Linked DNA regions of Mus musculus. The protein of the gene in region 1 binds, or shares a complex with, the protein of each later gene. Links are inferred from orthologs where the notes say so. Each region holds a gene or a part of one and is shown in the gene's direction. Other genes may lie near its edges. The genes, in order: Cfb, Cfp and Cfd.

Region 1 (6,591 bases):
TTGAAGACATTGTTACTTACCACTGCAGCCGGGGACTTGTCCTGCGTGGCTCCCAGAAGCGAAAGTGTCAAGAAGGTGGCTCATGGAGTGGGACAGAGCCTTCCTGCCAAGGTGACCCTTGACCTGCTCCCTGGGTCTGCTCTTGCCCTGTTGGCTCAACACTAAGAGTCTCTCGTTCTGAAATCCTATCACCCTGTCAGCGTGTCCTCAGTACTCCATCATCTGACCTACTCTCTGACCATCCCTAGATTCCTTCATGTATGACAGCCCTCAAGAAGTGGCCGAAGCATTCCTATCCTCCCTGACAGAGACCATCGAAGGAGCCGATGCTGAGGATGGGCACAGCCCAGGTTAGAATACAAGGAGGGAGACTGAGCAGGAAGCCCAGGGAAGGATGGGTGGTCTGTCAGGTACTGTACATATCAGAAGCTGAGTCTCTGCTGGCACCTAGGAGAACAGCAGAAGAGGAAGATTGTCCTAGACCCCTCGGGCTCCATGAATATCTACCTGGTGCTAGATGGATCAGACAGCATCGGAAGCAGCAACTTCACAGGGGCTAAGCGGTGCCTCACCAACTTGATTGAGAAGGTAGATCAGAGTTCCCCTCCCTTTGAAATGAGGGGACCTTATCTGGACCCCACTGCCCTTACAAGACTGGTTTCCTGTGTCCCCAGATCCTTTGGGTCCAGGTCCTGCTGTCCTCCAGCCTCTTCCCTGTCTCAACAGGAGTGTTGACTACCCACCACACTGGTTTTTGTTTTTGTTTTTTTAAACACAATGGCCTCTTGCTCATGAACAGGTGGCGAGTTACGGGGTGAGGCCACGATATGGTCTCCTGACATATGCTACAGTCCCCAAAGTGTTGGTCAGAGTGTCTGATGAGAGGAGTAGCGATGCCGACTGGGTCACAGAGAAGCTCAACCAAATCAGTTATGAAGGTCAGAGATCAGGGAAGGGAAAGCCGGGAGGTGCACCTTGGGGCTGTGGTAGTCAGAAGCTTGGGGTTCTTCGGGAGAAAGCAGACAAGACTACTATTGGTTAAAGGTTGAAGAAAAGTCTCCTTGGGCAATGGAGAATGCTGGAAGAGTCAAGGGCAAGTGGGTGATAACAAAAGTTAAACAATGTCTGGACTTGGTGGCACAAGCCTTTAATCCCAACATCCAAAAAGCAGGTGAATCTCTGAGTTCAAGGCCAGCATGGTCTATAGAGTAAAAGTTGAAGAATGTGGGATCTCAGTTGTCACAGACTTCTGAGGTGCAAATGTGGCTTGAAGATAAGGTTGGTGACCTTTTGTCTATAGACCACAAGCTGAAGTCAGGGACCAACACCAAGAGGGCTCTCCAGGCTGTGTATAGCATGATGAGCTGGGCAGGGGATGCCCCGCCTGAAGGCTGGAATAGAACCCGCCATGTCATCATCATTATGACTGATGGTAAGGCCTTTCTCCTACACCACCATCCTCCCATCTCCTGAGCATGTGTTTGTGTCTCCAGACAGTGTATCTTCTCTGTCCCACTTTTATGATCCTCATGTTTCCCACAGGCTTGCACAACATGGGTGGAAACCCTGTCACTGTCATTCAGGACATCCGAGCCTTGCTGGACATCGGCAGGGATCCCAAAAATCCCAGGGAGGATTACCTGGGTGAGTGGCCCATTTGGGATCCTGCACTCTCAAACCCTCACCCCTCAGGGCCTGGACTCTCACCCTCTCCTTCTCTCCTTCAGATGTGTATGTGTTTGGGGTCGGGCCTCTGGTGGACTCCGTGAACATCAATGCCTTAGCTTCCAAAAAGGACAATGAGCATCATGTGTTTAAAGTCAAGGATATGGAAGACCTGGAGAATGTTTTCTACCAAATGATTGGTAGGAAGACTCAAGGGTGTACAAGGGGAAGCTGCAGACTGAGGTTGCCAACGTCTCCCACCCCAAAGCCATCAAAACCTGGAAGGCTCGCTCTCTGGCCCCGTCATGCCTCCCCCACGTCTATTCTTACTTCCTGATTTCTCACACTCACAGAACTCTAATAGCTTGTTTTACAGATGTAGAAACAGGCTGAGCACAGCAAGTCAGCACCAAGACTGTGGCTAAGATGCTCAGTCCTCAGATCTCCTGGTCAATCTTTTCTTACTACACCATGGGGTTCCTCATCTAACACACAGAACCCTCTCCCTGCTTGCTCCCCTTTCCCCTTCTGGGCCTCTGCTGCCAACAGACACACAGGGACCCAACAAAGTTGACTACAATGACCTGAGCCTTCAGTATTCTTTCCCTGACAGATGAAACCAAATCTCTGAGTCTCTGTGGCATGGTGTGGGAGCATAAAAAAGGCAACGATTATCATAAGCAACCATGGCAAGCCAAGATCTCAGTCACTGTAAGCATTCGTGCAGTGGGTACTTGTGGGAGGGAAAGGAAGGAAGGGCAGAGGGAAGAGGAGGGGAAATGTCTACACTAGCTGTAATCCTGGCTTTCAGGAAGCCGAGGTAGGGTAGAGATTCATGGCCTGCTTGGGCTACAGTGAGTTCAAGGTCAATACAATAACTTATCAAACTGCCTGAAAAAGGGGAAGGATGCTGGGCATGGAGCACATACATGCTGGTGCCCTGGCATTTGGAAGTGAGAGCAGGGTTGCCTTGTGTCTGAGGTCAGTCTGGGCTAGTACAGAGCAGCCTCCAGCAGTACACATACACCAAGGTTAATCTGCATTGGCTTCCTAGCGCCCTCTGAAAGGACATGAGACCTGTATGGGGGCCGTGGTGTCTGAGTACTTCGTGCTGACAGCAGCGCACTGCTTCATGGTGGATGATCAGAAACATTCCATCAAGGTCAGCGTGGGTAAGGATGCAGTCAAGACTCTGACCTCCAGGCCCATCTATCTTCAGGAAACACTGACATGTTATGACCTGTAGCCCACCTGTTCTCAGCACAGCCCCCCCCGACCCCCTTAACACTGACTAGTTAAGGATGGGGAAACAGAACCCCAAAGATGAGATGGGGCCAGAGGCAGGAGGCTGCTTCCATAAACATGGTGCCCATTCTTCTCTTCTCAGGGGGTCAGAGGCGGGACCTGGAGATTGAAGAGGTCCTGTTCCACCCCAAATACAATATTAATGGGAAAAAGGCAGAAGGGATCCCTGAGTTCTATGATTATGATGTGGCCCTAGTCAAGCTCAAGAACAAGCTCAAGTATGGCCAGACTCTCAGGTGAGTGAGGCTGGGGCTCAGAGATGCTATGAAAGGTTGGGCTGGAGGCACAGGGCAGAACAGGTTGTCTGTGGCTCCTTACTGTACCTGTCTCCATAGGCCCATCTGTCTCCCCTGCACGGAGGGAACCACACGAGCCTTGAGGCTTCCTCAGACAGCCACCTGCAAGCAGCACAGTAAGGCATAGTCTGGGATAAGACAAGGATGAGATTTGCAAGACAAAGGGGTCGAAAGAGGGAGTTGAAAGTGTTAAACTGCTTAGTTCAAGGCCTGGCTCCTATGGGCCCAAGGGACATCTGCTGGGTGAGAAGTAAGGGTTCAGCTGGCATGACCCCATTACTTTTCCAGAGGAACAGTTGCTCCCTGTGAAGGATGTCAAAGCTCTGTTTGTATCTGAGCAAGGGAAGAGCCTGACTCGGAAGGAGGTGTACATCAAGAATGGGGACAAGGTGAGAAGAGGATTCTGGAGAGGGTCACATAGGTCTCATTCCTCCCTTAGCTAGCTAGCTTTTTCACCTTTGTTGCCTACAGAAAGCCAGTTGTGAGAGAGATGCTACAAAGGCCCAAGGCTATGAGAAGGTCAAAGATGCCTCTGAGGTGGTCACTCCACGGTTCCTCTGCACAGGAGGGGTGGATCCCTATGCTGACCCCAACACATGCAAAGGTGAGGTGGCTCTCTGGCTATGCTGCAAGTCCACAGGCCCAGCATCTTTCCCCTACAGCTTCTCTCTTCTACAGGAGATTCCGGGGGCCCTCTCATTGTTCACAAGAGAAGCCGCTTCATTCAAGTGAGTGGTCCCCTCTCTAGTCCCTTAGGGAGATGCCCAGGAGTCACAAAAAGAAAGCCTGCTGTACATGGCTGGAAAAGGGGGCTGGAAAAGGGGGCTGGAAAAGGGGGCAGAACAGGGCCCACCTCATCTGACAGCTATGTTCTTAACTGGTCAGTGAATGCCAAGTGTCTGGCTTATGTGCACCACAGAAGACAGGGGGAGCTAGGCTCCCAGTGCACTTCTTTAGGCCAGCTTGGAAGCTTTCTGGGATTATTAGTGTGTCAAGTGACCCATGGCATACCCTTATCTACACAGGTTGGTGTGATTAGCTGGGGAGTAGTAGATGTCTGCAGAGACCAGAGGCGGCAACAGCTGGTACCCTCTTATGCCCGGGACTTCCACATCAACCTCTTCCAGGTGCTGCCCTGGCTAAAGGACAAGCTCAAAGATGAGGATTTGGGTTTTCTATAAAGAGCTTCCTGCAGGGAGAGTGTGAGGACAGATTAAAGCAGTTACAATAACAAGTGTGTTCCACATCTTTTTGGGGTAAGGGCGTGCACTGGTTAACATCAACACTGACAGCCGCTTTTGAAGGCTTAACTCCAATCCCAAGTGCTGAAAGACTAGAGGCTGACGGAGGTGAAAAGCTTCTACCCCAGGATTTTACTGAGACCAGCTTGGGGGCATATGAGGCACAAGGAATCCAGCTTCATGTCCTAGAAGCCATCCACAAGGTTTCCTATAGATCGTCACTGTACACAATCTGGGTCCTCTTGTCTCGATGGCAACCCTTAGGGCTGTTCTGGACAGCTAAGGAGGGAGGAAAGTGACAGTTAAGTGAAGCACCAGTGGCGTTAGACCTGGGGTCCAGAGCCCTGGCCCTGGTCCACCAGGGCTTACTCTGCCCTCTGGTGGCCATAACCTCACTGTGGCTTAGAAAATCCAGAATGTTAACACAGTTAGAGATGTGACTATGATAACATCACAAATACATGGAAATTAAAAGATCAGAATGTTTCTGTACCTTGCTGGTACACTGGTCAATTCTGGTTCCTTCCTAGTGTGTGCAAGGACTTTGCTTACTCCTTCCTCAGAAAAGTTTGTTTTGGGTAGAATGGGCTGTCCACACTGAGAGACCCCATGAGGACCTCTCCGAACTCAAGTGTTCAGCTTTTCTTTCCTCATACTGCTCATCCCTCCCAAGGATTCCCTGTGGGGCTAAGAGACAGGCCTCCTCTTTGGTCTTATACTCTTTTCAGAGCCTCTCAGCCCACAGCCCAGAGCTTCTGGGGTTGTTCTTAGCTTGGACTCTTCTTCATGGCTCCTTTGCTGCAGACTTAACTTGGGCCTAGCAAGCCAGGACTGCTGGAGGTATGCTAGGCACAGACAGTAGAGCCTAGCTTCCTAATGCTCTTGATTCTCTAAACCAGTCTCAGGTCACTTTTCAATCTCCAAAATCCCCACCTCTGATGGTTCCAGATACACAGAACACTAATCTATGTTTCCATGCCTGGTCTTCTACTTGAGGTCCAGACCCACAATACCAAGTTCAGGTAACACTCCAGCTCAGAGGCGACAACTAGGCTTCTGCTTTCCTGTCTGTGACAGAGGACCCTGTTCTGTTTTTCCAAATGGCTTTTCTTTTCTTTCTTTTTTTTTTTTTGGTTTTCTGAGACAGGGTTTCTCTGTGTAGTCTTGGCTGTCCTGGAACTCACTCTGTAGACCAAGCTGGCCTTGAACTCAGAAATCCACCTTCCTCTGCCTCCCAAGTGCTGGGATTAAAGGTGTGTGCCACCACTGCCCTGCCCAAATGGCTTTTCAAGACAAGATTTCTCTGTGTAGCCCTGGCTGTTCTGAACTCTGCTCTGTAGACCAGGCTGGCCTTGAACTCACCTGGCTCCACCTCCCACGTGTTGTGGCTGAAGGTGTGTGCCACCACTGAGAGGGCACATTTCAGTGCTGCTCTCCTTCCCTCACCTGACAGATGCCCTGGCAATTCTTCATCCACTACCTACGTGAAGATCCTGACCTTGGGCACTTTAGGGAACTCAAGGAAGTGCTATGCTGCAGAGAGGGGAAGGGAGGAGCCTCATCCTTACCAAGGGAGCCCCAGACAGATTTGCCAGTAGCAGCGTCCAGCATGGGCTGTTTTCGGGCTATGTTGACTTTAAGCTGCACAGATTCCACCTGGGTCCCATTGAGCTGTGGGACAAGAGGGGAGGGGACAGAGGACGGGCATTACATGGAGCCAGGTGCTGCTGCCCTGGGAGACCAACCAGGAATGTGAGGATGAAGGTTTTCTCAGTCAGGAGAAAAGTTTCCTCTAGAAGCAGATATTGAAAAGAAGAAGCAGGAGGATGACAGGAGGGATGGGAGGAACGGTCTGAGAAGTCCCAACCTCAGCAACAGCCTGATCTGCAGACTCCATCTTCTCGTAGGTGACGAAGGCACAGCTGGGTGAGAGAGAAAGCAGAGTCAGGAAACTCCATGGAGACCAGGCAGCTCCCTCCCCGGGATGTTGCTCATGCTTACTTTCTGGGTGGGTCCATGGAGAGGTCGATGATATTTCCAAAGGGAGAGAAGGCCCCGCGGAGGAGGGTGGGCGTCATGTCCTC
Region 2 (7,215 bases), on another chromosome or scaffold:
AGAAGCCATTCCTTTGTCTGCCAAATTTCCTGGGGCCCTGCCTATTACCTCCCAATGGAGGGTTTTTTTGGGTGGTGGTCCCCGTCTGGGGGGCCCCTCCAGCTAGTACTCCAGGTCTCTGTCTCCCACCCCCTTCCATTTTGATAGTATAATCTATTTTTAAATGGGGCTTTTCAATAGGGGAGAGGGAAACATCTCTTCCTATATCAGATGGGTGGGTAGGCGGGTGGGTGGGAAGTAAGGGATTTGGAGGCGGTCTTCCTGCCACCCCCAAGTGTTTATTTTTTATACCAAACATGTATTTTTGGCTCCCTCCCAGCCCCCCAATTTCCTGCAGGCGGGTACAAAGGACCCTTTTAAGTGTCCCTGGAGTTGGGAGGGAGGAATGGGGGACATGGAGCCTGTCTTATATCAATCTAGGCTGGAGGAGGTGGATCAAAAGACTCCCAGGCTCACCTCCTGTCAGCACTGGCCCAGACCAGGCCTGAAGACCTGGGGGTTGGTGATTTGGGGGACGGTGCTATACTCGTCTCCACTACTTGTTTTGCTTCCCCAAAATGGACCTTTTTTTCTAAGAGTCCCAGAGAATGGGGAATTGTTCCTGTAAATATATATTTTTAAAGGTGTTGCTGAAAGCTGTTGGTATTTTTTTTTCTCCTGTGTCACCAAAATAAGCCATGACAGCCACGAATATGAAGAACAATAAGGGCGAGGCAAAGATTGACTGTGAGAGAGGCAAAATGATGGCATATGTCAGAGACTGATACAGACTGCTGATTGGTAACCAGTGTGATGAGAGAAACCGAAAGATTTTAAATATGTGTGTCGCAGGTCAGAAGTGTGACCGCAAACATTTTTGTACATGTGTATGCATGGTCTTATGTGTGGTGTGTTGTCTACTGGAACACTGTCCCCTCCTTTGAGACAGGGTCTCATCTTTGCCTAAACTTACCAGTTGGGATACACTTGCTGGCCATCAAGTCTCAAGGATCTACCTGGTTCTACCTTGGGATTACAAGCATGTACTTCTATGCCTGGAATTTTTACCTGTATTGTAGGGATCAAACGGTCACCTTTTACCACGTTGACTCCTTTATTCACAGGGTTGTGCAAAGCAAGTGTTTTATTGACTGGGCCATTTCTCCAGTCCCAACCATTTGTAGATGAAAAGTCACACTGTTAGTAGAGAAATGGTTTTGAGAAATGGTTTGTGTGTGAAATTAAGTCATGGAGGTATATGTTTAAGAAGCTGATTGTGTGAGCCAGGTGGTAGAGGCACACGTCTTTAATCCCAGCACTGGGGAAGGAGAAGCAAGTAGGTCTCAGAGTTCAAGGTCAGCCTGGTCTACAGAGCAAGTTCCAGGACAGCCAGGGCTACACAGAGAAACCCTGTCTCAAAAAAAGAAGAGGGAAATGAAGGAGGAAGAACAAGAAGTTACTGATTGTGTGAAAGAAAATGATCATGAGGCCCAAGTGACTGATAAGACATAGGTGTGAAACTAAAATGTTTCATAGAAACCATAGGAAAGATGGAGAAATGGATTGGTTGTGGCTGCTAAAGTCTAAAAGGCTGGTGTGTGTGTGTGTGTGTGTGTGTGTGTGTGTGTGTGTGTGTGTGTAGGAGAGAGACTGAAAATGTTACCCGCTACTAGTGGGTAGCAGCTGGTTAACAAGTCTCAGCTTTGGGCTGGAGAGATGGCTCTGGTTAAGAGCACTGACTGCTCTTTCGAAGGTCCTGAGTTCAAATCCCAGCAAACACATGGTGACTCAACCATCTGTAATGGGATCTGACACCTTCTTCTGGTGCATCTGAAGACAGCTACAGTGTACTTAGATATAACAATAAATCTTTAGGCCAGAGTGAACAGGGCCGGAGCGAGCAGGCTCGACCAAAGCAAGCAACCTTCATTCCCAGCAACCACAGGATGGCTCACAATCATGTACAGCCACAGTGTACCCATATACATAAAATAAATAAAATAAGTAAATCTTAAAACAACAAAACAGTTGCAGCTTCCATAGGTTCTGGTGAGACTGAGGAGCTGAGGAGAAAAGAAGGACTCACAGTCAGCAGTTGTGAGAAACTTGACAACCAAATGGTGTCTGAGAAGTATGTGTGTCTGAAAAACTGGAGGCCCACACTACACCTGCTGAATGAGAAATAGGTAGGATCCAGCAATGTGCAGTTGGATCAAGAAGCCCTGTGGGTGATTCTTGTGTGTCCTAAGGCTAGAGAGTAATGACATCCAAGAAGGGTCACAGGAGAAGACCTTTCTGAAAGATTTTTATTGCTAGTCTCCCTTTGTAGAGTGTTTAAGTCCTTTAGAGACAGTGATTTTTTTTCCTGTCTTGTTTTCTATTCCATTTAATGCTGAGAACTACTGATGCTCAGTAGGTGCTCAATAATTGTTGAACAAACCAATTTAGTAAACACAGCCAGGCACTATTCTGAGTATTTTCATTGTCGGGCTGTGACAGATCTAAGCTGTGTCCAGTGCTGTAAATTTGTACTGCATACAGACCTAAAGCTGCTCACATGCTAGGCAAATGGCATACCACTGAGCCCCTCCCCCCACCTTGGGCAGTGGGTATGCCTGAACATCCCCTCTTCTGAATCACTTCCCACACAATGCCACTTCCCTTTTTCACTTCCCTTGCATTGACCTCACACACATACATGCTGACCACAGGAACCTCACTTTTAGGAAAGGGCTAAGTTTTCAAGATGGTAGATAAAGTAGCTGCCATGATGCCTTCTTCACAAATGAGGCCTTCCCTCATCTCACCCTTCTCCAGTACCCCCATGAAATTGGTCACCATAGTCAAGATTATGCATTTTACAGGTAAGAAAATGAGCCAGCCATGGTGTTACTTGCCTGTTCAAGACCAGCCTGGTGTTTAAAGCAAATTTCAGGTATGGCTATGTTGTAAAACCTTGCAAAAAAAAAAAAAAAAAAAAGGAAAACTAAAGCTGAGAATTTAAAGTGACTTGCCAACGTTCACACGCCTAGGTGGTTCTTGTTTTCAGACCCCAGTGCCCTTCAGTGAGAATTTGTCTCCTAAGCATTGAGTGAAAAACTAAGTGATTTCTGGGTAAGGTGGGGTATTAGGTGGTAAAGATTGACTAACAAAGCAGCATCAAGGGTGACAAAGCAGCTACAAGGAAATGGAGAAGGGAGAAAAGAGGAGGGGCAGAGTGCACAAGGGAGACTTCACAGTTAATGAGGCCATACCCTCCCAGTTCCTCCTGCCCTGGGTTCCTCTTTCTGGAGCAGGTCAGTCCAGACAAAACCAAGGCCTCCTCTCTGTGAGGAGTGCAGAAACATAGTGTTCAAAATGCCTGCTGAAATGCAAGCCCCTCAGTGGCTCCTGCTGCTACTGGTTATCCTGCCAGCCACAGGTAAGTGGATGAGCGCCCACATGTCCTCCAAGGGATGCCCAGGCCAACCACACTCCTGATTTGCCATTCCTCTCCCCTGATCTTACAGGCTCAGACCCTGTGCTCTGCTTCACCCAGTATGAGGAGTCCTCTGGCAGGTGCAAAGGCCTACTTGGGAGAGACATCAGGGTAGAAGACTGCTGTCTCAACGCTGCCTATGCCTTCCAGGAGCATGATGGTGGCCTCTGTCAGGCATGCAGGTTTGGAGGAACCTGGGCTGAACCCTGTAACCTAGAACTGTACTCGTTGCCCTGGAGCTTCTAAGAGTGCCACCTCCTCCACAAGCCCTCCTTATGACCATAGCTCAGGGTTTCAAAATCTTGGCACTGTTGCCATTTGGAGCTCTTTGTTAAGGGTATGAGTTCTTAGCTGTGCATTGTTTGGTAGTTTATAACATATCTGACCTACCCCTAAATGTTTTTAACAACTCTCTGCACTGATTATTAGTGGGTGTGGGGTGTCTCTGACTCTTTCATCTGTGCTTAGGACCCCTTTTCTCCTCCTGAGTTGCCTCATCCAGCCTTGATATAAGAATTTGTGCCTAGTCTTATTGCATCTTCTTATGACACGTTTGGTTAATATTCCTGGAAGGCCTGATTTTTTTCTGAAGGGGAACTGGAGGAGGAGGATCTGGGGAAGAGAGGAGGTTGTAGGAGGTGGGGGCTGAAAGAAACGAGGGGAAAGGAAACTATAGTTAGGCTGTCTTGTATGAGAGAAGAGTTTTTAAAAAAGCTGAATCCAGATACTGCCAAATGTCCCTTAGGAGAGACAAAATTAACCCTAATTTTAAAATGCTTTAAAAGTCAGGGCTTCCTGTAAACATTGCAGGTGGGGTGCAATTTGGATATTTTCTATGGTAGCTCTATTCTCCTAACTTACAATAGATCATAATTGAGTGCTTATTATATATAGAACCATTATAGAAATGGAGGACTTTAAGGAAATTCTGAGGACAATGCCAAATCTTTAATTGTGATGACACATTCATTGTGCAACTCTTTTGTGGCAGTTTGGTCTCTGAAGGCACTTCAAAGCTCCTAATCATGACTTCCAGTTTACATATGTTGAGTCTTACTATACTGTAGATATAGTTTATGACTGCTTACTATGTATTTCAGATAACATTGTAAAGATGATAGGCTTGAAGATCTTGGAAAGCAGCTCTGAGCTGCCAGTCATGCTAACAGTTCATGTCTCTTTAGCACTGGCATGCATACCCATATTATCATGCAAACCCAGTTCTGTGCAGAAGCAATGTGTTTCTCTAGGATGTTGTGAAGGGACCGCAGAGCTTCTGTTTAGTAAGGACTTCCTCTCTGTGTGGTACTGTACAGGGTAGTGACCTATTGAGTTCCTGGCAGAAGTTCTGGTTTTTTAGTCTGTAAATTTGCTTATTGTACATCTGGCTATGACCCTGGGGGGTTTCCAGAGGAAAATGAAGGGAAATGAAATTTATTAGATATTTCCTGTATATTCACTTCTTCCTGTTCAATCACCCACCATCCCTAAGTGGTAAGTAGGCTCTCAGTGATCTATCCTGTCACTTCATACCAGGATAGAACATCGGCTCCTCTCTACAGGTCTCCACAATGGTCAGCATGGTCCTTATGGGGGCCCTGCTCAGTTACATGTTCTGAGGGGTCCCAGCTGCGACACAGGCGCTGTGTGGGCAGAGGTGGTCAGTGCTCTGAGAATGTGGCTCCTGGAACTCTTGAGTGGCAGCTACAGGCCTGTGAGGACCAGCCATGCTGTCCAGGTAAGGAAGATCAACAATGCGGACATGGAACCAGCCCACAACACTAGAAGAATCAGTGCAGAGGTCCTGAGGACAGACCTTTGTATGGCTTTAAGGAGAATGGAGGAGGCTAGGATCGCTGAAGGATGTTCGAAAGTAAAAACATTGGCTTGAGGCTGAATGATTTGGATTATTGGAAGGGGAGAGATTTACTTTGACTTGCTTTGGGAAGAGGACAGGCCAAATCTGGAGTATGAAAGCTGCTGCTATAGTCCACATGAGCAGTACTGCTAGGTCAGGTATAGGGACAAGAGATAGGACAGGCTAAGATGATGTGGGACACACATGAAAGAAAGGGATCCTTGGTTTTTATTAGGTTTTCTTTACATTTCAAATGTAATCCCCTTTCCTCGTTTTCCCTTCGAAAATCCCCTATCCCCTCCCCTCCCCCTGCTCACCAACCCACCCACTCCTTCTTCCTGGCCCTGGCATTCCCCTATACCAGGGCATAGAACATTCACAGGACCAAGGGCCTCTCCTCCTATTGATGACCGACTAGGCCATCCTCTGCTACATATGCAGCTGGAGCCACGAGTCCTACCATGTGTACTCTTTGGTTAGTGATTTAGTCCCAGGGAGCTCTGGGAGTACTGGTTAGTTCATATTGTTGTTCCTCCTAGGGGGATGCAGACCCCTTCAGCTCCTTGGGTCCTTTCTCTAGCTCCTTCATTGGGGACCCTGTGGAAAGAAAGGAATCCTAAGTTGCCACACACACCCCCACTTCTTCTCTTTTTCTCCCACAGAGATGGGTGGCTGGTCTGAGTGGGGACCCTGGGGGCCTTGCTCTGTCACATGCTCCAAAGGAACCCAGATCCGTCAACGAGTATGTGATAATCCTGCTCCTAAGTGTGGGGGCCACTGCCCAGGAGAGGCCCAGCAATCACAGGCCTGTGACACCCAGAAGACCTGCCCCAGTGAGTAAGAGTAGTCACAGGACATGGAAGGGATAATGTTGGGTTACAGCAAGAAACTGTGAGGGAGAAAAAAAAACTTTTATGCTTGCTTGACTACAGTTCATCCTTCCATTTCTACCACAGCACATGGGGCCTGGGCATCCTGGGGCCCCTGGAGCCCCTGCTCAGGATCCTGCCTTGGTGGTGCTCAAGAACCTAAGGAGACACGAAGCCGCTCATGTTCTGCACCAGCACCTTCACACCAGCCCCCTGGGAAACCCTGCTCAGGACCAGCCTATGAGCATAAGGCCTGCAGTGGCCTACCACCTTGCCCAGGTATGCAGGGATGAGGCCATCGTCATGCAGCTAGTGGGGCTTTAGATTTCTGGCAAAGATGAATGGAATTCTTGTACCACGTGATCAGAAGCCTATCATCTGAGGAGTTTGCCTCAGATGTCTAGAGGTGATAGGGAGGGAAGCTGGGGAGAGTGCATGATTAAGGTGGTCTTTATTGTCACTTTCTCTCCATTCCAACAGTGGCTGGTGGCTGGGGGCCATGGAGCCCTTTGAGCCCCTGCTCTGTGACTTGTGGCCTGGGCCAGACCCTAGAGCAACGGACATGTGATCACCCTGCACCCCGTCATGGGGGCCCCTTTTGTGCTGGTGATGCCACTCGGAACCAAATGTGTAACAAAGCCGTACCTTGCCCTGGTTAGCAAGTCAAAAGGCACCATGCCCATGCCTAACCCCCTGCCCAAGCCCTATGCCCATCACTGCTGCCCACTTGCTACCAAAACCTTGTTCCTGCCTTCATACCCTGGTTCACCTCTCCTCCTTCATCCCCACATCTGTTCACTCCCACTCCCTCTCAAAGCCTTCTTCATTCCTTCCCCTGAGGCCCTTTACTGGCCCCAAACCCTCTTGCTCCTTGTCTCTACAGTAAACGGGGAGTGGGAGGCCTGGGGAAAATGGAGTGACTGCAGCCGGCTGAGAATGTCCATCAACTGTGAAGGAACCCCAGGCCAGCAGTCACGTTCAAGGAGCTGTGGCGGCCGCAAATTTAATGGGAAGCCATGTGCTGGAAAACT
Region 3 (6,505 bases), on another chromosome or scaffold:
AGACCATCACCCAGTGTGCTACAAGAGCTCAATGTGACAGTGGTGACTAACATGTGCCGCCGTCGTGTGAACGTATGCACTCTGGTGCCACGTCGGCAGGCAGGCATCTGCTTCGTAAGTACCCTCTGCAGCAGCAGGGATAGTAGTCGGACCCCAGGGAGGACTTCCCAGTGCTGGAGCATGGGTAGGGGATGACTAGAGATCCAGCCTCTGACATGGACGCCTCCACAGGGGGACTCTGGCGGACCCTTGGTCTGTAACAACCTTGTCCAAGGCATTGACTCCTTCATCCGAGGAGGCTGTGGATCTGGATTGTACCCAGATGCCTTCGCCCCTGTGGCTGAGTTTGCAGATTGGATCAATTCCATTATCCGAAGCCATAATGACCACCTTCTTACCCATCCCAAAGACCGAGAGGGCAGGACCAACTAGGACCTGTCTGCACTCCCACCCCGCTCCCCTTGCTCCCTTGCTCCCCCCTCTACCAGAGACCTCTCCATTTTACTACAATAAAAGCAGCCTTTGTTTTGTACACTGGGTCTGATGTCTGCTGCTTCAGGATGTAGAACACAGCCAATGCCTCGTATACGGTTCACCTCCTGGAGACGCTGCAGCCAAGCTGGGGCAAAGGTGTGGCAGGAGTCACGTCCCCCACTTTGTACAAAAGAATGTCCGTCAGACAGGTCTTTTGGTTTCTGTTCCTAAATCCCATGTTCAGCTAGGTCTCAGCATTTAGGAGGTTGAAAAAGGAGGATTACCAAGAGTCTGAGGACAGCTTGGCCTACAGAGTGAGAAAAATAGAGGGTTGGAGAGATGCTTAGCAGTTAGGAGTGTCTGCTGCTCTCATAGGGGACCTGGACTCCCATATGGTGGCTCACTATTGCCTATAGGCCCAGTTCCAGGGGACTGGATGCCCTCCTTTGGACTCTGTGGGCACCAGGCACATATATACACCTTCTACACATAATTAAGAAAAGTGAGCTTTTCTGCGCTCTCGCTGGACCAGTGAGCAGGGACGGCCTCAGGATGCAGAACGACGCCGGCGAGTTTGTGGACCTGTCCGTGCCTCGGAAATGCTCCGCATGCAACCTCATCATTGCTGCCAAGGACCACGCGTCCATCCAGATGAACGTGGCCGAGGTTGATAGGACCACAGGCCGGTTTAATGGCCAGTTTAAAACTTACGGCATCTGCGGGGGGTCATTTGCAGGATGGGCGAGTCAGATGATTCTATTCTCTGATTGGCTAAGGCTGATAGAATTGTCTCAAAGAACTTTTGAGCAGAAGAAATCGGGAATTTGTTACAAATAAAAGTTTTAAGTACCTGTGGGGGGGGGGGAAGAAAAGTGAAGATAACCTGATAAATAAGCTAGGACTGGTGAAGTGGCTTACCAGGTGAGCATGCTAGCCATGAAGGTGAAGGAGACAATGGATTTCAGCGAGCCCTCTGCACACTTACCCACACAGTACATAAATAAAATAAATACAGCATATAGATAAATAATAAAAATAATAAATAATAAAATAGCCAAGCAGTGGTGATGCACACCTTTAATCCCAGCACTTGGGAGGCAGAGGCAGGCAGATCTCTGAGTTCGAGGCCAGCCTGGCCTACAAAGTGAGTTCCATGACAGCCAGGGCTACACAGAGAAACCCTGTCTCAAACAAACGTGATGATGATGATGGTGATGATATCCACTTTCCTGTTACATTGGAGTGGTAGACACCATAGCTCTGTCCCAGGTGCTCCCTAAATGGCTTCTTTTACCCACCCTACCTTTCCCCACCCTCTCCCACCCCTCCCAGGACAGGGCTCCAAGTCTGTGGAAGTTCGGAGTTGTTTACTGAAGTGTCCCAAGCTGCATGACCCTGGGTGGCTGCCAAATTTTGTTATAATTTATTAGGTTCCTGTTTTCACAATCTGGTTCTGCGCTAAAGGGCTTCTGATTCTGTTTTGTTTTGTTTGAGTCAACAGCCATGGTTTTCTTGGAACTCACTATGTGACCCAGGCTCTGCTCTTCTCAAACTTACAGAGCTGCTGCTGCTTCTTCTTCTTCTTCTTCTTCTTCTTCTTCTTCTTCTTCTTCTTCTTCTTCTTCTTCTTCTTCTTCTTCTTCTTCTTCTTCTTCCTCCTCCTCCTCCTCCTCCTCCTCCTCCTCCTCCTCCTCCTCCTCCTCCTCCTCCTTCTTGATGTTTTTTTGAGACAAGGTTTCTCTGTGTAGCCCTGGCTGTCCTGGAGTTCACTATGTAGACCAGGCTGGCCTAGAGAACTCAGAGATCCGCCTGCCTCTGCCTCCCAAGTGCTAGGATTAAAGGCGTGTGCCACCATTGCCCGGCCACAGAGATTCTTCTGTCTTCACCTCCTGAGTGCTGGGGTTGAAAGTGTGCCACCCAGGTGGCTTCTGATTATAATGACAGTCCTGGGGCTCAAGATGTCCTGTGGACAACACATCTACAACATCATGTCACCTCTAAAGACAGGGAATGGCTGAGCTGAGCCCCCAAGCTCCCATCCTTCTTGCCCCAATCTCTCCCCTCTAGAACCCACCCTCAGGATTATTTTTTGTGAAGAGCTTGCGACCTGGGCTCAGCCAAACAAGACTTTGATTGGCATGAGGGTCTGATTTTATAGTCAAGGTCCCCATAACCACAATAGGGAAGAGCCTGGTGAGGACAGAGGCTGCGCCTGGATCAAGCCAAACCTGAAGGCAGAATTCACAGGAAATGAAACCTCATGGCAACACTCTGCTTGCTGAGGTGTGAGACCCCACAGACACAGGAATGAGGACAAAGGAGTTAAGTGCCCTTCCCCCACTGTCAAGCAACCTTCTCTCCAAATTGAAGGCAGAAAGAGGAGGGAGAGATGATGGGGTGGAGGGTGTTACTAACCGACCTCCTGCTGCTCTGGTTTTAACAGACACCATGACAGACACATGGCTGGAAGGATACTCACTGGGCCAGGACAACAGGTGGTCCATCCTCTGCTCTCGTTGTGCCTTGTGTATGCCTACCTTGAGAGTGGGCACTGGTCAGGGTGCCATGCAGGAGGGAGAGGAGGGTTTGCCCTGCCCCCTGCACCTCACAGGTTCACATCATCTGTCCCAGAAGGGCTGACACACCGAAAGTGCAGACTCCCCTTCCCTAGTTGGTTTTCTGCCCACCAGGCAAGGGGCAGGAGGTAAGAGGCAGGAGTCCATAAAACAGCCCTGAGAGCCTGCTGGGTCAGTGCCTGCTGTCAGAATGCACAGCTCCGTGTACTTCGTGGCTCTGGTGATCCTGGGAGCGGCTGTATGTGGTGAGTGGACCAGGGAGGGACCAGTTTGACACAGCAGCCCCCTTGGTGGGCCAGCACAGCAGGAGTCCCCTGCAGTGAAACACTCTCCAAATTACTAATCTGTAATCTGAGCCTTCTGGTTTCAGAGCTTTTATCAACAGCAAGAATCTGGATTTGAAATCTGTATACTTTACAGAATTAAAGAACTAAAATTCACCTTAGGGCTAGCGAGAAGGGTCAGCTGGTTAAAGGGCCTGAACACCCATTTGATGAAGAAAGTGATCGCTACAAGTTGTCTTCAGCCTACTGCAGGTTCACTGTGGTCTTGAGGGGTGTAAACCACCCACAGGCCCCTGAATTTGCAGCCCCTCGGAAATGCACTTTACTGAGATCGCTTTTGGGTCTGGGGCAACTGGGTTGGAGGTGTCTGTGGTCAGAGTGGGTTCTCTTTAGGTGCAACCCACCCCAACCCTTACAATACACCTACCCTCCTCAGCAGCACAGCCCCGAGGCCGGATTCTGGGTGGCCAGGAGGCCGCAGCCCATGCTCGGCCCTACATGGCTTCCGTGCAAGTGAACGGCACACACGTGTGCGGTGGCACCCTGCTGGACGAGCAGTGGGTGCTCAGTGCTGCACACTGCATGGATGGAGTGTGAGTGGCAGGGGTGGGATGGGGGTGGGAGGAGCGGGGCCTCGGGAGGCTGGGACGTGGATCTGAGATGCGCCCTTGTCCTGTCCCCAGGACGGATGACGACTCTGTGCAGGTGCTCCTGGGTGCCCACTCCCTGTCCGCCCCTGAACCCTACAAGCGATGGTATGATGTGCAGAGTGTAGTGCCTCACCCGGGCAGCCGACCTGACAGCCTTGAGGACGACCTCATTCTTTTTAAGGTGAGAGAGCTGGATCCTTTGTACTCAAGAGTCTAGCCTCGACCCTACCTTCTGCACCAGAATCCCTGTCCGCCACCCCAGCTTCAGATCTCTTTTCTTGACTCTGCCCCTACTCAGACATTCTGCCCCTCCCACCCTTAGCTATCCCAGAATGCCTCGTTGGGTCCCCACGTGAGACCCCTACCCTTGCAATACGAGGACAAAGAAGTGGAACCCGGCACGCTCTGCGACGTGGCTGGTTGGGGTGTGGTCACCCATGCAGGACGCAGGCCTGATGTCCTGCATCAACTCAGAGTGTCAATCATGAACCGGACAACCTGCAATCTGCGCACGTACCATGACGGGGTAGTCACCATTAACATGATGTGTGCAGAGAGCAACCGCAGGGACACTTGCAGGGTGAGGGACACAGTCTGGGTGATGTGGTGTGGGTGGGTGGAGTTGAGGGGCTGTGGAGGCTAGCTAGGGGGCCTGGCTTGTGGGAAGGGTGGGGTTCAGGAATCTCAGGAGCTTCTGGGAGTCAGTTTCTTGCTGGCTATTGGGTGGGCATGTCACTAGTGGCCCTGCCCTACAGGGAGACTCCGGCAGCCCTCTAGTGTGCGGGGATGCAGTCGAAGGTGTGGTTACGTGGGGCTCTCGCGTCTGTGGCAATGGCAAAAAGCCGGGCGTCTATACCCGAGTGTCATCCTACCGGATGTGGATCGAAAACATCACAAATGGTAACATGACATCCTGAGGGGACACCAGAGACACGTGGCTCAGGGAAACAAGAGACACGTGGCTCACAATAAATGCATGCATCTGAGCCCTGTGCATCTTTCTTTTTTTTTTTTTTAAGATTTATTTATTGTTATATGTATCTACACTATAGCTGTCTTCAGACACACCAGAAGAGGGAGTCAGATCTTATTACAGATGGTTGTGAGCCACCATGTGGTTGCTGGGATTTGAACTCAGGGCCTTCGGAAGAGCAGTCAGTGCTCTTAACCACTGAGCCATCTCACCAGCCCGCCCTGTGCATCTTTATTGAGTGCCTGTTGCATACACACCTGAAGGCGGGTGTTTTCACGCTTGGCCACACGGGGGCGCGCGTGCTGTTTTAGAATTGTGAGGCGGGGCTCATTCCTATCCTACTGAGGTCCTGCTGTACCCAGGACTGTTGTCTGGGCTCAGACAGCTCTTACTTTGAGCCTTACCACATAAATACTAAAAGGGAAAACTGAGGCACAGAGCGGCCATGAACAAGACTGGATTCCAACCCAGAGCCCTTCCTGGTTTACTGAAGAGGGAGTTGGTAATGTCTTTGTCACAGGCTGGAACCCTGTGGGTGACAATGGGCAGAACCTGGACCCAAACCCTGTGTCTTTCTACCAGGAGAACAGGACACTGAGGCAAAGGGAGTCTTCTGGCTTCCTGTAGGTATTGGAGACTAAGGATCTTAGAGGTGAAACCACTGAGGACCCTGCTGTGAAAGAGGATAGAACTGGATCCTGGGTCTAAACTTTGTCTCTGCTAGGCAGGTTCAGCTTGGAGTCATCTTTATGAACAAGCTGCCACCAGGCTCATGGAGAGGGATAGCCACAGACACAGGCCAGGCCCAGCTCTACTCCCTCGGGAGGCTAGTGCTTAGCACCACTTGTCCCACAATCCCAGAGTGCTCCGCACCTAAACAGAGGAGCCTGGGACGCCACTCAGCTGCGTCTAGCACGTCCCCTAGATGGCTTGATATGCATGTCTATGCACGGCCAGCACTCTGCAGAGAGTGGACCGGAGCAGTCTTCCAGGACTGCCACCCTGGTGGCCATGTTTCCGGCTATGGGAGGTCAGGAAGTCGAGCTTGTGCATGGCCAGGATGCTGCACCACCATGCTGCTGGCTTCTGTTGGCAGAGGAGGTGCTCTAGGGGCAGCAGTGGGCAGGGCAAAGGGAAGTCACAAAACTCTGAAGGGGTATACCAGTTCCCAGGCACAACATGCCTGCCTCTTCCAGCACTGAGGAGAAGGTAGTTCAAAGCTGGGATGCTCACCTGGGACTGTTACCCTGTCTGACTGTAGCTCCCTCACACTGCGGTGGAGTACATCGATAATTCTGGGTTTTGGTTTTTGCTTTAATCTCGGGTGTGAGATGTGGGGCTACTTTAGACTGTCCACAGCAGCTGACTATGATTTGCCTCGTGATCTAGGAGAGGCGTGGTTTTGCCAGCTGCAGCTAGTTTCTCCAACTGTGTGACATTTGCAATTCTGGGGATTTTTAAGAGGATATATATATGCTAGGGTTGTTGTTGTTGATAGTGGATTGGTGGTTGGTTGCTGTTTGTTAAGCAGTCCTGTGCAAAGAAGTT

Evidence for each region.
Region 2: the proteins of Cfb (region 1) and Cfp are in contact, whole or in part, in a crystal structure (PDB 7NOZ), measured with the Homo sapiens proteins. The link is inferred for Mus musculus from reciprocal best matches to the Homo sapiens genes CFB and CFP. Residues at the interface, in NP_001701.2 of Homo sapiens: Glu54, Gln56, Ser78, Thr316, Tyr317, Leu349, Ser351, Met394; in NP_001138724.1 of Homo sapiens: Arg329, Arg330, Asn331, Lys333, Pro341, Met420, Val421.
Region 3: the proteins of Cfb (region 1) and Cfd are in contact, whole or in part, in a crystal structure (PDB 2XWB), measured with the Homo sapiens proteins. The link is inferred for Mus musculus from reciprocal best matches to the Homo sapiens genes CFB and CFD. Residues at the interface, in NP_001701.2 of Homo sapiens: Glu298, Ala301, Ser302, Ala332, Asp333, Ile469, Asp470, Glu471, Ser472, Glu518, Tyr519, Lys585, Asp758, Glu759, Asp760; in NP_001919.2 of Homo sapiens: Asn157, His158, Ala159, Gly160, Arg161, Arg162, Arg182, Thr183, Asp186, Arg200, Val228, Cys229, Gly230, Asn231, Arg232, Lys233.

The regions. Positions count from the first base shown.
Region 1 is NC_000083.6:34,854,283-34,860,873, reverse strand, and holds the end of Cfb (complement factor B isoform 1 precursor), read left to right. Parts: coding exon 1-111; intron 112-248; coding exon 249-350; intron 351-451; coding exon 452-588; intron 589-799; coding exon 800-938; intron 939-1,300; coding exon 1,301-1,432; intron 1,433-1,542; coding exon 1,543-1,644; intron 1,645-1,727; coding exon 1,728-1,865; intron 1,866-2,278; coding exon 2,279-2,376; intron 2,377-2,719; coding exon 2,720-2,837; intron 2,838-3,052; coding exon 3,053-3,206; intron 3,207-3,241; exon of another isoform or gene 3,242-3,305; coding exon 3,306-3,382; intron 3,383-3,554; coding exon 3,555-3,655; intron 3,656-3,737; coding exon 3,738-3,870; intron 3,871-3,928; coding exon of another isoform or gene 3,929-3,944; coding exon 3,945-3,994; coding exon of another isoform or gene 3,995-3,998; intron 3,999-4,291; coding exon 4,292-4,447; 3' UTR 4,448-4,500; downstream 4,501-6,591. Other genes in the region: Nelfe (negative elongation factor E), read right to left, coding at 4,716-4,786, 6,076-6,178, 6,375-6,429, 6,509-6,591.
Region 2 is NC_000086.7:20,927,576-20,934,790, reverse strand, and holds the start of Cfp (properdin precursor), read left to right. Parts: upstream 1-3,235; 5' UTR 3,236-3,336; coding exon 3,337-3,400; intron 3,401-3,488; coding exon 3,489-3,639; intron 3,640-5,019; coding exon 5,020-5,195; intron 5,196-5,977; coding exon 5,978-6,148; intron 6,149-6,271; coding exon 6,272-6,463; intron 6,464-6,664; coding exon 6,665-6,838; intron 6,839-7,067; coding exon 7,068-7,215. UniProt on the Homo sapiens protein: A positive regulator of the alternate pathway (AP) of complement. It binds to and stabilizes the C3- and C5-convertase enzyme complexes. Inhibits CFI-CFH mediated degradation of Complement C3 beta chain (C3b).
Region 3 is NC_000076.6:79,887,686-79,894,190, forward strand, and holds Cfd (complement factor D isoform 1 preproprotein), read left to right. Parts: upstream 1-3,167; 5' UTR 3,168-3,240; coding exon 3,241-3,295; intron 3,296-3,770; coding exon 3,771-3,927; intron 3,928-4,017; coding exon 4,018-4,165; intron 4,166-4,306; coding exon 4,307-4,564; intron 4,565-4,739; coding exon 4,740-4,901; 3' UTR 4,902-4,970; downstream 4,971-6,505. Other genes in the region: Elane (neutrophil elastase precursor), read left to right, coding at 1-114, 232-432.